3 linked regions of the Mus musculus genome follow. The protein of the gene in region 1 purifies or fractionates together with the protein of each later gene. This does not show direct contact. Links are inferred from orthologs where the notes say so. Each region holds a gene or a part of one and is shown in the gene's direction. Other genes may lie near its edges. The genes, in order: Emc1, Tmed2 and Canx.

Evidence for each region.
Region 2: the proteins of Emc1 (region 1) and Tmed2 purify together in Homo sapiens (affinity purification with mass spectrometry; 3 studies listed by BioGRID and IntAct, with this or other methods). This does not show direct contact. The link is inferred for Mus musculus from reciprocal best matches to the Homo sapiens genes EMC1 and TMED2.
Region 3: the proteins of Emc1 (region 1) and Canx purify together in Homo sapiens (affinity purification with mass spectrometry; 4 studies listed by BioGRID and IntAct, with this or other methods). This does not show direct contact. The link is inferred for Mus musculus from reciprocal best matches to the Homo sapiens genes EMC1 and CANX.

What each region holds. Positions count from the first base shown.
Region 1 is NC_000070.6:139,362,517-139,366,235, forward strand, and holds part of Emc1 (ER membrane protein complex subunit 1 isoform 1 precursor), read left to right. Parts: intron 1-649; coding exon 650-746; intron 747-1,140; coding exon 1,141-1,263; intron 1,264-1,814; coding exon 1,815-1,823; intron 1,824-2,678; coding exon 2,679-2,878; intron 2,879-3,001; coding exon 3,002-3,151; intron 3,152-3,719. UniProt on the Homo sapiens protein: Part of the endoplasmic reticulum membrane protein complex (EMC) that enables the energy-independent insertion into endoplasmic reticulum membranes of newly synthesized membrane proteins.
Region 2 is NC_000071.6:124,539,411-124,543,590, forward strand, and holds the start of Tmed2 (transmembrane emp24 domain-containing protein 2 precursor), read left to right. Parts: upstream 1-1,380; 5' UTR 1,381-1,451; coding exon 1,452-1,631; intron 1,632-3,561; coding exon 3,562-3,754; intron 3,755-4,180. UniProt on the Homo sapiens protein: Involved in vesicular protein trafficking. Mainly functions in the early secretory pathway but also in post-Golgi membranes.
Region 3 is NC_000077.6:50,298,055-50,301,773, reverse strand, and holds part of Canx (calnexin precursor), read left to right. Parts: coding exon 1-16; intron 17-719; coding exon 720-876; intron 877-2,429; coding exon 2,430-2,645; intron 2,646-3,537; coding exon 3,538-3,657; intron 3,658-3,719. UniProt on the Homo sapiens protein: Calcium-binding protein that interacts with newly synthesized monoglucosylated glycoproteins in the endoplasmic reticulum. It may act in assisting protein assembly and/or in the retention within the ER of unassembled protein subunits.

The sequences.
Region 1 (3,719 bases):
TGACTCTCCAGCCCACTGCTGTTGCTGTGTGTGAGGCCTTGCACTTAGCTGTTGTTTATGTGTTAATCCGTAGGGCATCTTGGCAGTCTTGTGGATTGGTTGTTACTGACCTGGCTTGTGAATGTGCCATTGCCCAGGGCATTTTGAGCCATGGAGCTAGTAAGACTTGTTGCTGGGGTTCACACTCCAGATGGGCTCCCTAGTAAGACGTGTTGCTGGGGTTCACACTCCAGACGGACTCCCTAGTAAGACGTGTTGCTGGGGTTCACACTCCAGACGGACTCCCTAGATGTACTAATACTCTTACCCAGTCTTCTTCTGGGACATTGAATTGTATCCCTCAGCTCCTGGGATGGGGCCTCTTTAGTCCTAAAATGGGAAGTCCTGGCCTGGCCTTCTGCTCACCTTGTTGGGTCCAACTGGGGCATGGAGGTATGATAGCCCCTCAAATACTTGCTGCCCTTCATAGACACATCAGCGAGAGCCTCACCTCATTGCTGGCTTTAAAGAGTTTGTGCTTTCTTGCCAATGCTCAGATAATTACTGTATTGTGTAGACATCATGGCCTGGATCTCAGCCGACTCCCAATCCTTCTAATCTTGGGGTCCAGTACCTTGGTGCCACTTGGCATCTTACTGTTGGCTTCTAGCTGTACATCCAGGTGTTCTTGAAGAAGGACGACTCGGTGGGCTACCGGGCCTTGGTGCAGACACAGGACCATCTGCAGCTGTTCCTGCAGCAGCTTGGTAAGTGCCTCATGCAGCCATGTTTGTGTCTGCTTTAAAGTCCAGTCATTGCGGGAGGTGTGTGTGTGTGTGTGTGTGTGTGTGTGTGTGTGTGTGTGTGTGTGTGTGTGTGTGTGTGTGTGTGTGTGTATGGATGTGTGTGTGTGTGTGTGTGTGCATAGGCTTGGGAAAGATTCAAGCAGAGTGTACCATGCCAATTTACCCAGTTCCTCGAGATAGAGAAGCTTCCTCACTTGACTGCTGACCTCAGCCTCATGAGATCTTTTGCATAAGACTTGAACTCTGAGCCACCTCTAGCTGAGCTCTTACAACCTGGTTTCTTGTAGCTGGGAAGGTAAGAGTCTCCTCAGGGCTAGGCAGCCAGGCTGAGCTCTTACAACCTGGTTTCTTGTAGCTGGGAAGGTGGTGTTGTGGAGCCGAGAGGAGTCCCTGGCAGAAGTCGTGTGCCTGGAGATGGTGGATCTCCCCCTGACTGGAGCGCAGGCTGAGTTGGAAGGAGAATTTGGCAAGAAGGCAGGTATGAACATAGGGAGGCGGCTCCAGGGCGGGTCAGCTGCGTTTATGGATTTACTGTGTCCCTGGCTTCTGGGCTCAGCCCGATGTTCTGAGGAATCCTGTGGCCAGTTTCCAGTGCATCAGCAGCCCCATGGCTTATGCAGCCACACTTTTGCTGAGTCCCTCTAGTGAAAGATCCTGAGGCAAAAATGTCTTTGCTTAGTATAATAGTAGGTGTCATTGTCTAGGTACCTAAAGTTAGTTGTCAGGCTCCGTGTCACACATCTTCACCCACTGTCTCCAGTGCCACAGCTACACCTAGAGAGGTGTGATTGGAGATAGCCCGATGCTCTCTGAGCTGGCAATGGCTCCATCAGTGGTTATCTGATGAGTTTGGTTCATTCCTCTCCAGTCCCGTCCTGGCCTCCCCGCCCTTCCTTCATCCATTCATCCAGCTGTGCAGTAGGCAGCTGTTGAGGGCATCTTTTGGATCGGGTACACAGCTAGTGTTGTGTATTTTCTTAAGCTGAGAATTAACTTAACTTTACTGTCTATTTCTGCTGCTGGACCCAGCGATTCAAGGTAAATCTTGCTTTTGCTGCCTGTTACGTCTTGTGTGCCCACACGGCTAGCATTTGGTTGGCTGTTTTTCTGACTTGCAGGCACTGTGTATGTGTGGATTGTTCTGCTTGTGACTTGTTGCTCTGTCTCTCTGTGAATTGTGGTTGGTGGAAAAAGATGAGCAAAGATTATTCCCTTAATGAGCACTTCCCCACACTAACGTTAGTACAACAGATCATACGTCATATGATCTGTTCTTTATAACGGGCCTCTGGGTTTCATGCCATCTAATAGATGAGGGACCAAAGGCACAAGGTTAAGCACATTTCTTAGGGTCTTACAGTAGAAGGCACCAGGGCTGGGATTTCAATTTATGCGAGACCTTCCTCCTTATGGTATCCTGCACTTGTCTCTGAGGGAGATGCCTCACCAATGGAGTCAGAGCAAGGGAATGATGGCCTTAGGAATAGGTTGCAGAAAGGGATGCTGGGAACAGGTAGTGAAGTAGAGTGAAGTAATGGGAGACAGAAGCACTGTTCATGCGCACACCTGCTTCTGCTGCACCCGAGGCCCACACTTCTCTGCCTTCCCTTGGTTGTCACAGCATGGCTGCATCCTGCATGGCTGACTCTTACCTCTTAGTCTCCTATTAACAAGATTCTAGGTAGGTGAAGTCCTAGGAGCCAGGTAAGGAGGCTTTGGAAGATTGTGCATGGCTGCACCAGAGTGTGGGACTGCTGGCATCTTGAACAGACTGCCTGGAGTAGGACTGACTGGAAGGTCCTTCAGGAGAGGGAGAGGCCCCTCCTGGGTAAGCACACCCCTTCCTGCTGGGTTTCTAGTCTGATGGAGTACCTTCTTCCTCCCCGACACCAGATGGCTTGCTGGGGATGTTCCTGAAACGCCTGTCGTCCCAGCTCATCCTGCTCCAGGCCTGGACTTCCCACCTCTGGAAAATGTTCTACGATGCTCGGAAGCCCCGAAGCCAGATTAAGAATGAGATCAACATCGACACACTGGCTAGAGATGAGTTCAACCTGCAGAAAATGATGGTGACGGTAACAGCCTCAGGCAAGGTGAGCACACGAGCCCGAGAGAGCAAGTGCAGGTGCAGGCAGCAGGCTTGCTCTGTTCCAGTTTTCGAGGATAGAATTGATCAGTTTTTTCCTGTCACGAGTCAGCATTTGTTTTTCTTGCAGCTCTTTGGCATCGAGAGCAGCTCTGGAACCATTCTGTGGAAGCAGTATCTGCCCAATGTTAAGCCAGACTCCTCCTTTAAGCTGATGGTGCAGAGGACTACTGCCCATTTCCCCCATCCACCCCAGTGCACGCTGCTGGTGAAGGACAAGGTGAGGCCAGCCATGCCGACTGCAGCCCAGTGTGTTGCCTTTGCGTATTTCACAGCTGAGATTTCTCCCATGTTTTGGGCATTCCATGAGAAGCTCTTGGGTTGGAAGGCCTCATTTTTGCCAGTTTCTGGCCTGGGTGGAGGAGCCATCCAGCTGTGACGGGGAACTGGCTAGGAACCAGACCCACCTTCACCAGCGCAGTTAGCAGTTAGGCTATCCCTGGTAGCTGATATAATCACAAAGCTATTATGATTTCTGCCTCTAGAATTTGAATGGATTTTTGTGGATCCATTTTAGCTGTATTGTGAGGTAGGGTTTGGTAGATATTCTTTTGCACCCAACAAGCATTAGATGGCTGACTTGGTTTTGAGAGCACATGGTCTCAAATAGCCCTGACTAGTCTAAAACCAGCTATGTAGACCAAGTGGCTTCAGACTTGCAGAGATGAAGATGCTAGGATTAAAGGCATGTACCACTACAGCTGGCCCAGGACTTGACTTTGATTTGCTCTTTGGCATGCTCAGTTCTTAGCTAGACTTGGAGCTGGAAGCAGTCCCATCAGCCTAGG
Region 2 (4,180 bases), on another chromosome or scaffold:
GTGAGGATTAGATGCATTATATAATACTGGGAGGATTATATGCAGAACAAAGTGAACATTGTATTGTATTGTATTGTATTGTATTGTATTGTATTGTATTTTAGAGACAGTGTTTCTCTGTGTAATATAGCATTCACTGCCCTGGACTTGCTTTGTAAACCAGACTGGCCTCGAACTTACCTGCCAAATGCTGGGATTAAAGGCCTATAGCGGGGCTGGTGAGATGGCTCAGCGGGTAAGAGCACCCGACTGCTCTTCCGAAGGTCCGGAGTTCAAATCCCAGCAACCACATGGTGGCTCACAACCACCCGTAATGAGATCTGGCTTCCTCTTCTGGACTGTCGGAAGACAGCTACAGTGTACTTACATATAATAAATAAATAAATAAATTAAAAAAAAAAAAAAAGGCCTATAGCACCATGCCCAGCTTTCTGAACAAGGTGAAATTTTACAATATCATATGCATAGACTTCCTTCCTTTCTTCCTTCCTTCCTTCCTTCCTTCCTTCTTTCCTTCCTTCCTTTCGCTGCTGTTGCTGTGTCACCCTGGCTGCACTGGAACTTTTCTATATAGGGACCAAGGAGGACTTGAACTCACTGCTTCGCATAGATTTAAAAAAAAAAAGATTTATTTTTATTCCTTTAACTACGTGTTCCTGGGTGGGGGTGAGTGTTAGCAGTGAGCATGTAGCCAGAGGTAATTGACTTTCAGCATCCTCAGAGATTCTCTGTGGGATGGTTTTGAGTGTTCTCCACCCCTGCCAGCTTAAATAAGCAAGGTGATGGGGGAGCAAACCAAAGAAACAACAAAAAAATTGGATTTCTCATCTTTATCATCCACCTCTCAGAGACCCCAGTTTTGAGACTCACTGAATGTCTTTATCTACTCGGATAATCCTAAAACTGTGAAACCCTGTATACTATCACTTTCTGAATAAGTCCATGCGATCTTTATTTATTGCTATTATGTTTTAAATTTTATGTTTGAGTATCTGGACAGCATGTGTGTGCGGTGCCCGCGGTGGTCAGCAGAGGGGGCATTAGATCCCTTGAAACTGGGTACAGACGGTTGTGGGTCATCGTGCGAACTCTGGGACTCGAACTCGGATCCTCTGCAAAAGCAACTAGCAGGTTCTGTCGGTGCAGCGCCTTTTCGCCGCTCCTAGTCCACGTGATCATTGGCCCACGTCGAAGGGCTTGAGTGGAGGGATTGTTTTTTTGGCTCCTCAGGGCCACTGTCCAACCTCAGCATCCGCCTTGTCCCTCCGCGGCCGCCGTGCGTCCGTTACGTGGCAGCCGTCGGCCCCGGCCAATGAGCGGCGCCCGCATCAGCCCCCTTGGGAGGCGCCGCCGGAAGGGGCGGAGCTGAGGCGGCGGGCGGCTGAGGCGGCAGCGGTGGCGGCGGCTCCGGAGGCCGCAGTCCGCGTCCCGGCGTCGGCCCGTCCCGCACCATGGTGACGCTCGCCGAGCTGCTGGCGCTGCTGGCCGCGCTGCTGGCCACGGCCTCGGGCTACTTTGTCAGCATCGACGCGCACGCCGAGGAGTGCTTCTTCGAGCGGGTCACCTCCGGCACCAAGATGGGCCTCATCTTCGAGGTGGCGGAGGGCGGCTTCCTGGACATCGACGTGGAGGTGCGCGGGCCCGGCGCCCGCTCGCCGTCGGGGCGCCGTCGCGAGTCCCTCTCGGGGGGTTGGCGGGTCCCGGGGTAGAGCGCGGGGTGGCCCCGCGCGGGACAGCGCTCGACAAGGGCGCGGGCCGGGGAGGGGCCTCGTTGCCGTCGCCGCCACCGCCCGTCGCGCAGCCCTCCGACGGGCCCTGCCCGCGCGTCTCGGAAAGCGCTCGTCTCTCCGAGCGCCTTCGGGCCAGGCTCGGGACTCGGGCGCGGACTCGGCCTTTCCCCCTTGGCTTTGTCCCGCGGCGGCCGCGTGTCACTCAGCCCGGGAGGGAGCGACTCGGCGTGGTTCTCCTCGGTCCCTCCAGGGCTCGCACGGGGCGGCGTGGCGCGGAAACAAACTTTGCCGAGTAGGTCGGAAGTTGGCGGAGTAGCACTAAGGCGGAGAAAGTGGCTTTGGCAGAAACCAGCTTAACTTCCTAGCCGCATCCTTACGCAAGCGCCAGATGTGACCCGCGAGGGATGCACTGAGGTCATTTAGTTTTAGGAGAGGCTTTCAGCTAAGTGTTTTAGAAAAGTTACTTGTCTGGAGAATAAAAATGATCGGCCGAGTTGTTTGAGACAGGATTGCCTTTTGTAGTTCTTGGGTATCGAACTCACTTTAGGAGGGATAGGATGAAGGGCGTGTACCGCCGGTCCCTACAGTTTGCTGCATTCAAAAAAAAAAAAAAAAAAAAAGACCATATACAGTAGTTTTAATTTGCTTGCTAGTATTCCTGACTGGGTGTAAAGAGGGAATACAAGTAGTGGCACTCCAAAAAAGTTTGGAGACCGCATGGATTAGCCAAGACCTTAGATAAAAGATGAGTACTTCCAGTTTCTCAAGTTTTGCAGGTGGACTGGCTCTCAAAGAAGCAGGGCTCGGGCTAGAGAGATGGCTCAGCAGTTAGGGGTACATGCCGCTCTTTGTTCAATACAAGCGTTGACTCCAGACATTGGGTGCCCCTTTGGCACCTCCGTACATTTTCATGCACAGCCTTAAAGGGGGAAGGTTTGATGGTGCCTGGCAGCTGATTTGTATTGTTCCTGCTTGAGAATTCGGGTTTTCTAATTTCCAATCTAGTGCACTTCCCTAAGCCTTAGCATGTCAGATAAGTTACAGCCCTTTGTTGTTCGAAGTGACCACAAAAACCTTAAAGGTGCTTTTATAAAATTACTCATTTTGGTAGGGTGAAATAGGAGCACACCAACTTTTTTTTTTTTTTTTTTTGGTACAACTGATAAATTATATGTTAAATAAGTATCAACAGTCAACACAAATCCAAAACCACCCACCAGCCCTGGGAACAAGAAACAGCTGGTGGTTTCCTCTAGGGTGTTCCTAAGGAAGGACATGGCGGCACCCACTGTGTGCAGCACACATGACAGTGGCGAGTGGCTACTGGGATGGGGCCTGAGAAGGGCTTTGGTCTCCTGCAGGAGAATCAATGGCCTTGGGCACACTTTTAATCCCGCATTCAAGACAGGTCGCTGGATCTCTGAATCTGAACCCAGTTTGGACCAGTAATGAGACCCTATCTCAAATCAAAAATAAATAAAATTACTCATTTAGGAAAACTTTGTTCCTAGGTTGTGATTTCAGCCTTGCCAGTTTTTGTTGAAGTTAGACAGTTGGAGGCCATGTGGAGAGTTGTCCTGCTTCTCTTTCTGAGAGGTTTACATTTCGCTTGGACAGGTAATACCTAAAGGATAAAGAGTGAAGAGGTGTTTTAGGGAACTGTTGACTCTGTGCTAGTTTGATTTAAGTGGGAGAGTTAGTGCCCAAAGTGTACACTGGCTCCCTGTAGGGGGACCTACTCAAGTTCCAGCCTATTGGATATTTTTCCTGTGAGGATGCTGCTAAAGATCCTAAATGTTTAGTGAGTTTTCTGTTTCTCTCCTGCCTCCAGATCACAGGACCAGATAATAAAGGAATCTATAAAGGAGACCGGGAGTCCAGCGGGAAGTACACATTTGCAGCCCACATGGATGGGACATACAAGTTCTGCTTTAGCAATAGGATGTCCACTATGACTCCAAAGATAGTAATGTTCACCATTGACATTGGGGAGGCTCCCAAAGGACAAGACATGGAGACAGAAGGTGAGGTGTCTCTTTGGACTCAGAGCTCATCTCAGTTCAGTTCACTCATCCATCTTAGTACTGTGTGTGTGACTTTCTCTCCAGATTCATGTCTTAAAAACAAAATTCCTGTTGAAGTGGATGTTACTGTCTATTGTCAGTGATTTTGGTTGTGCCTTCTGGCAGCCATGAGTCACTCTGCTCATGTAAATCCCCAGACTCCATGGCCCTGGGTTCTGTTACCTGGCTGATCCTGGGGTCCACGTGTACCTCTGTTTCTGTTTGCAGACATGCTAGCTTAGCTAAACTCCTTCTTTTGTCTACACCTTACATTTTTCTCTAGGTGGTGGAGACTCCTGGGATGGTATGTGGTGCTTTTGTGTGACAGCATCCTGTTTTTTTTTTGGTTTAGCATCCTTTTGTTTACTGATATCTAATTTCTGATTC
Region 3 (3,719 bases), on another chromosome or scaffold:
AGAAGCCAGAGGATTGGTGAGTTTGAGGTTGCTTTTGTCATTACCTGGTTTTTGTTTTAAAAATTTATTTTTATGTGCTTTGGTGTTTTGCCTTAATGTTTGTCTATGTGTCAACTCACTTGGATTTGGAAGAGAAGCCAGTGTTCTTAACTGCTAAACTGCCCCAATTAAAATCAAGCATTTAATCCCAGCAGAGGCAGGCAGATCTCTGAGATTGAGGCCAACCTGGTCTACAAAGTGAGTTCTGGGACAGCCAAAGCTGTTACACAGAGAAATTCTGTCTTGGGCAAACCAAAATCAATCAATCAATCAATCAATCAATCAATCAATCAAAGCAATAGCTATGTGCCCCTCTCCCCCAACAACAACAACAACAAAAAAGAAGCAAAAGGGGAAAAAAAAAAGCTGGGTATAGTAGTACATGCCTTCATCTCAGCACTCAGAGGCGGGTGGATCACTGAGTTCTAGGACAGCCAGGGCTACCAGAGAAACCCTGTCTGAAAACCTAAAGGGAAAAATAAAAAGCCAACTGCCCAAGTTTGAGTGAAAAACCTTACAAACTTTACTAAATTTCATTGGGTAAAAACAAAGTAGGTAGTTTATGAGAGTGCATTGATAGTGGAAATGAGAAATGAGATATCGTTCTGTCATATGCTGCTGGTATAGCTCCAGAAACATGTTGAGAGCATAAGACTAGTTGTTTGTTTATACCTCCACAGGGATGAGGATATGGACGGAGAATGGGAGGCTCCTCAGATTGCCAACCCCAAGTGTGAGTCAGCCCCTGGGTGTGGTGTCTGGCAGCGACCTATGATTGACAACCCCAATTATAAGGGCAAATGGAAGCCTCCAATGATTGACAACCCTAACTACCAGGTTTGTGTCTCCTGATGGTTTAAGTGTTTTTATTAATTTGTTCGTGTCTGGGCAAAAGCTTGATCAATAGTAAGGCCAGCAAATCAAAAAGAGAAAGTAAACTTAAGAGACAGGTGAATATTGGGCTAAACATAAAACCTAAAAAACAGGAAAGAGGAGTGTTCGAACTTGCTATGTGACTATCTTAGTTTGGGTTTCCATTGCTATGAAGAGAAACACCATGACTAAGACAACTCTTAGAAAGGAAAGTAATTAAGGCTGGCTTACAGTTTTAGAGGTTGATTCCATTGTCATTATATTGGGAAGCATGGCAGCCTGCAGGCAGCAGAAGGGGACTCTGCCATATTGGGCAGAGTTTGAGCATACAAGAACTCAAAGCCTGCCCCAACAGTGACATACTTCCTCCAATAAGGCCACACCTAATAGTGTGACTCCCCATGGTCCAAGCATTGAAACACATGAGTCTATGGAGCCCATTTCTCTTCAAACCATCATAGTGAGCTATATCTAAAAATAAAAGTAGGGTAGAAGAACTTAGGGTGTGGATACCCTATTGTTGAGTGCATAGATTGGCTATAAGGGAACTGTGATGGGAATTGGATCTTGCCAAGTCAGCTAATTGCTTGGTCTCATCAGTTTTCTGCCAAAGATAGGTAGGTACATATGAAGCGGTAGTAATATGTATAGTGAAGCTATGAAGCTCCACTTGTGTTCTGGGAAGGTACCAATGTAGATCCTTCCTGGCTTCAGTTTCTAAACCAAAAAACTATAGTCATAAATTTTCGCTTACACTTTTAGATGTATGGTGCATCTATCTATATGTATATATTTTGTTTGCTTTTCTGTTGTAAAATGTTTTTAGTTGTCCATTTAGATAACTGATCAAACAAAAATTATACTTTAGCTTGCCATTTGACTATCTGAATATGTCTTTGTTACATGCTTGTCATTCTAGCACTTGGTTATCTGCATGAGGACCAGGAGTTGAAATGTCAACTTCAGCTATAACTAAGAAGATCAGGGATAGGTTAAGGCTATCCTGGGTGTATGAATCCCTGTTGAACCAAGCCAAACCAAACCAAACATTTAGCTATTCGGTTGGCCACCACCAATTGTGTTTTGTTGAGGATTAGTATTGAGACTGAATCCAGTGTCTCATGCATATTAGGTGTAAGTGCTGTGTTTCTGGCCTACATCCCTAGCCCATTTTTTAAAATCACTTCTGGGGAATGGGAAATGGCTTTACTGACTACATTCCACCATCACTTGTTGAGGGTGGAGTGAGCTACGCAGGACCAGGTGTTGGTTCAGAATAAGATCCTGCAGATTGGAGACTGAATTTGGTAGAAGTCAAGAATTCAGTATAAAAACATTACTAGCATTTATTGTTCTGTGCTTGTTTAAATTTGGCAGTTAATGTTTATCTTCTTTGATCATATAAAATGAGTCTTACATAGATTTTCTTTTTTTGTTATTATCTGAAATGATGTTTTGAAACTTCTTTTGTCTCTGCCTCACCCCCAACCTACTCCCCTCTCCAAATCACAAACTAGGGAATCTGGAAACCAAGGAAAATACCAAATCCAGATTTCTTTGAAGACCTAGAACCTTTTAAGATGACTCCTTTCAGTGCTATTGGTTTGGAGCTCTGGTCCATGACATCCGACATCTTTTTTGACAACTTTATCATTAGTGGTGACCGAAGAGTAGTTGATGATTGGGCCAATGATGGGTGGGGCCTGAAGAAAGCTGCTGATGGGGCTGCTGAGGTTAGTGATTGTTCATTAATTGTGGATTTATATCCACTTTTGGGGGAGACTGATTACTTTATAAAAAGCAGATTTTTAGTGTTTATCTTTTTACTTATTCAGTGTCAAAATATATAATTGTTAGACTCCTATTCTGGCTTTCCAATCCTGTTATATGTATGTGTATATTTGTATCTGTTTATCATTTTATTTTATTTTATTTTGTCTTCAAGACAGTTTTTCTGTGTAGCCCTAGCTGTCTTAGAACTTGCTCTGTAGACTGGGAGGGCTCAAACTCACAGGGACCTACCTGCCTCTGCCTCCAGTGTTTCAATTAAAGTTATGTGTTATTGCACCTGGCTTAAGTATGTTTTAATGCACTGAAAATGCTGAATCTTGGTTGGAATTGTGTGGAATTTTCAAATAACTAATGGTGTTGTTGAGTTGCGATTTGGATGGCCAGAAAACTGGCAGAAAGATAATTCTTCTGTTTCCTGAGTAAGGAACTTTTTGCAGTTATTACAAGCCACAGTTTGCACCTATGCAGGTGAAACTTCATGATGATAAAAGCAGTAAAGCGGGGGATTTTTTTTTCCCCCTAATTTCTATTTTTTGTTTTGTTTTCTTTTAACTTGGTTTTTCGAGACAAGGTTCCTCTGTGTCTCCCTAGCTGTCCTGGAATTCACTCTGTAGACCAGGCTGGCCTTGAACTCAGAAATCCGCCTGTCTCCTAAGTGCTGGGTTTAAAGGTGTGCGTCACCCACCACTGCTCGGCTTTTCCTAATTTCTTAATGTGCATAGTTTGACTCCTTTGGAAATAAAGGAGTTAGTTGTATGAATATGAAGCAATCAGTCGAGTCTGTATTTGGTGTCATAAACCAGTTCTCTGAATTACTGTTGTTTGGTATTTCAGCCAGGTGTAGTGCTGCAGATGCTGGAGGCAGCTGAAGAGCGTCCATGGCTTTGGGTGGTCTACATTTTGACTGTAGCTTTGCCAGTGTTCCTTGTGATCCTCTTCTGCTGTTCTGGAAAGGTAGGAATGTCTAACTAAATAATTGTATCCACTGAGATTTTCTTTAGTGGTAGTTCTGTAAA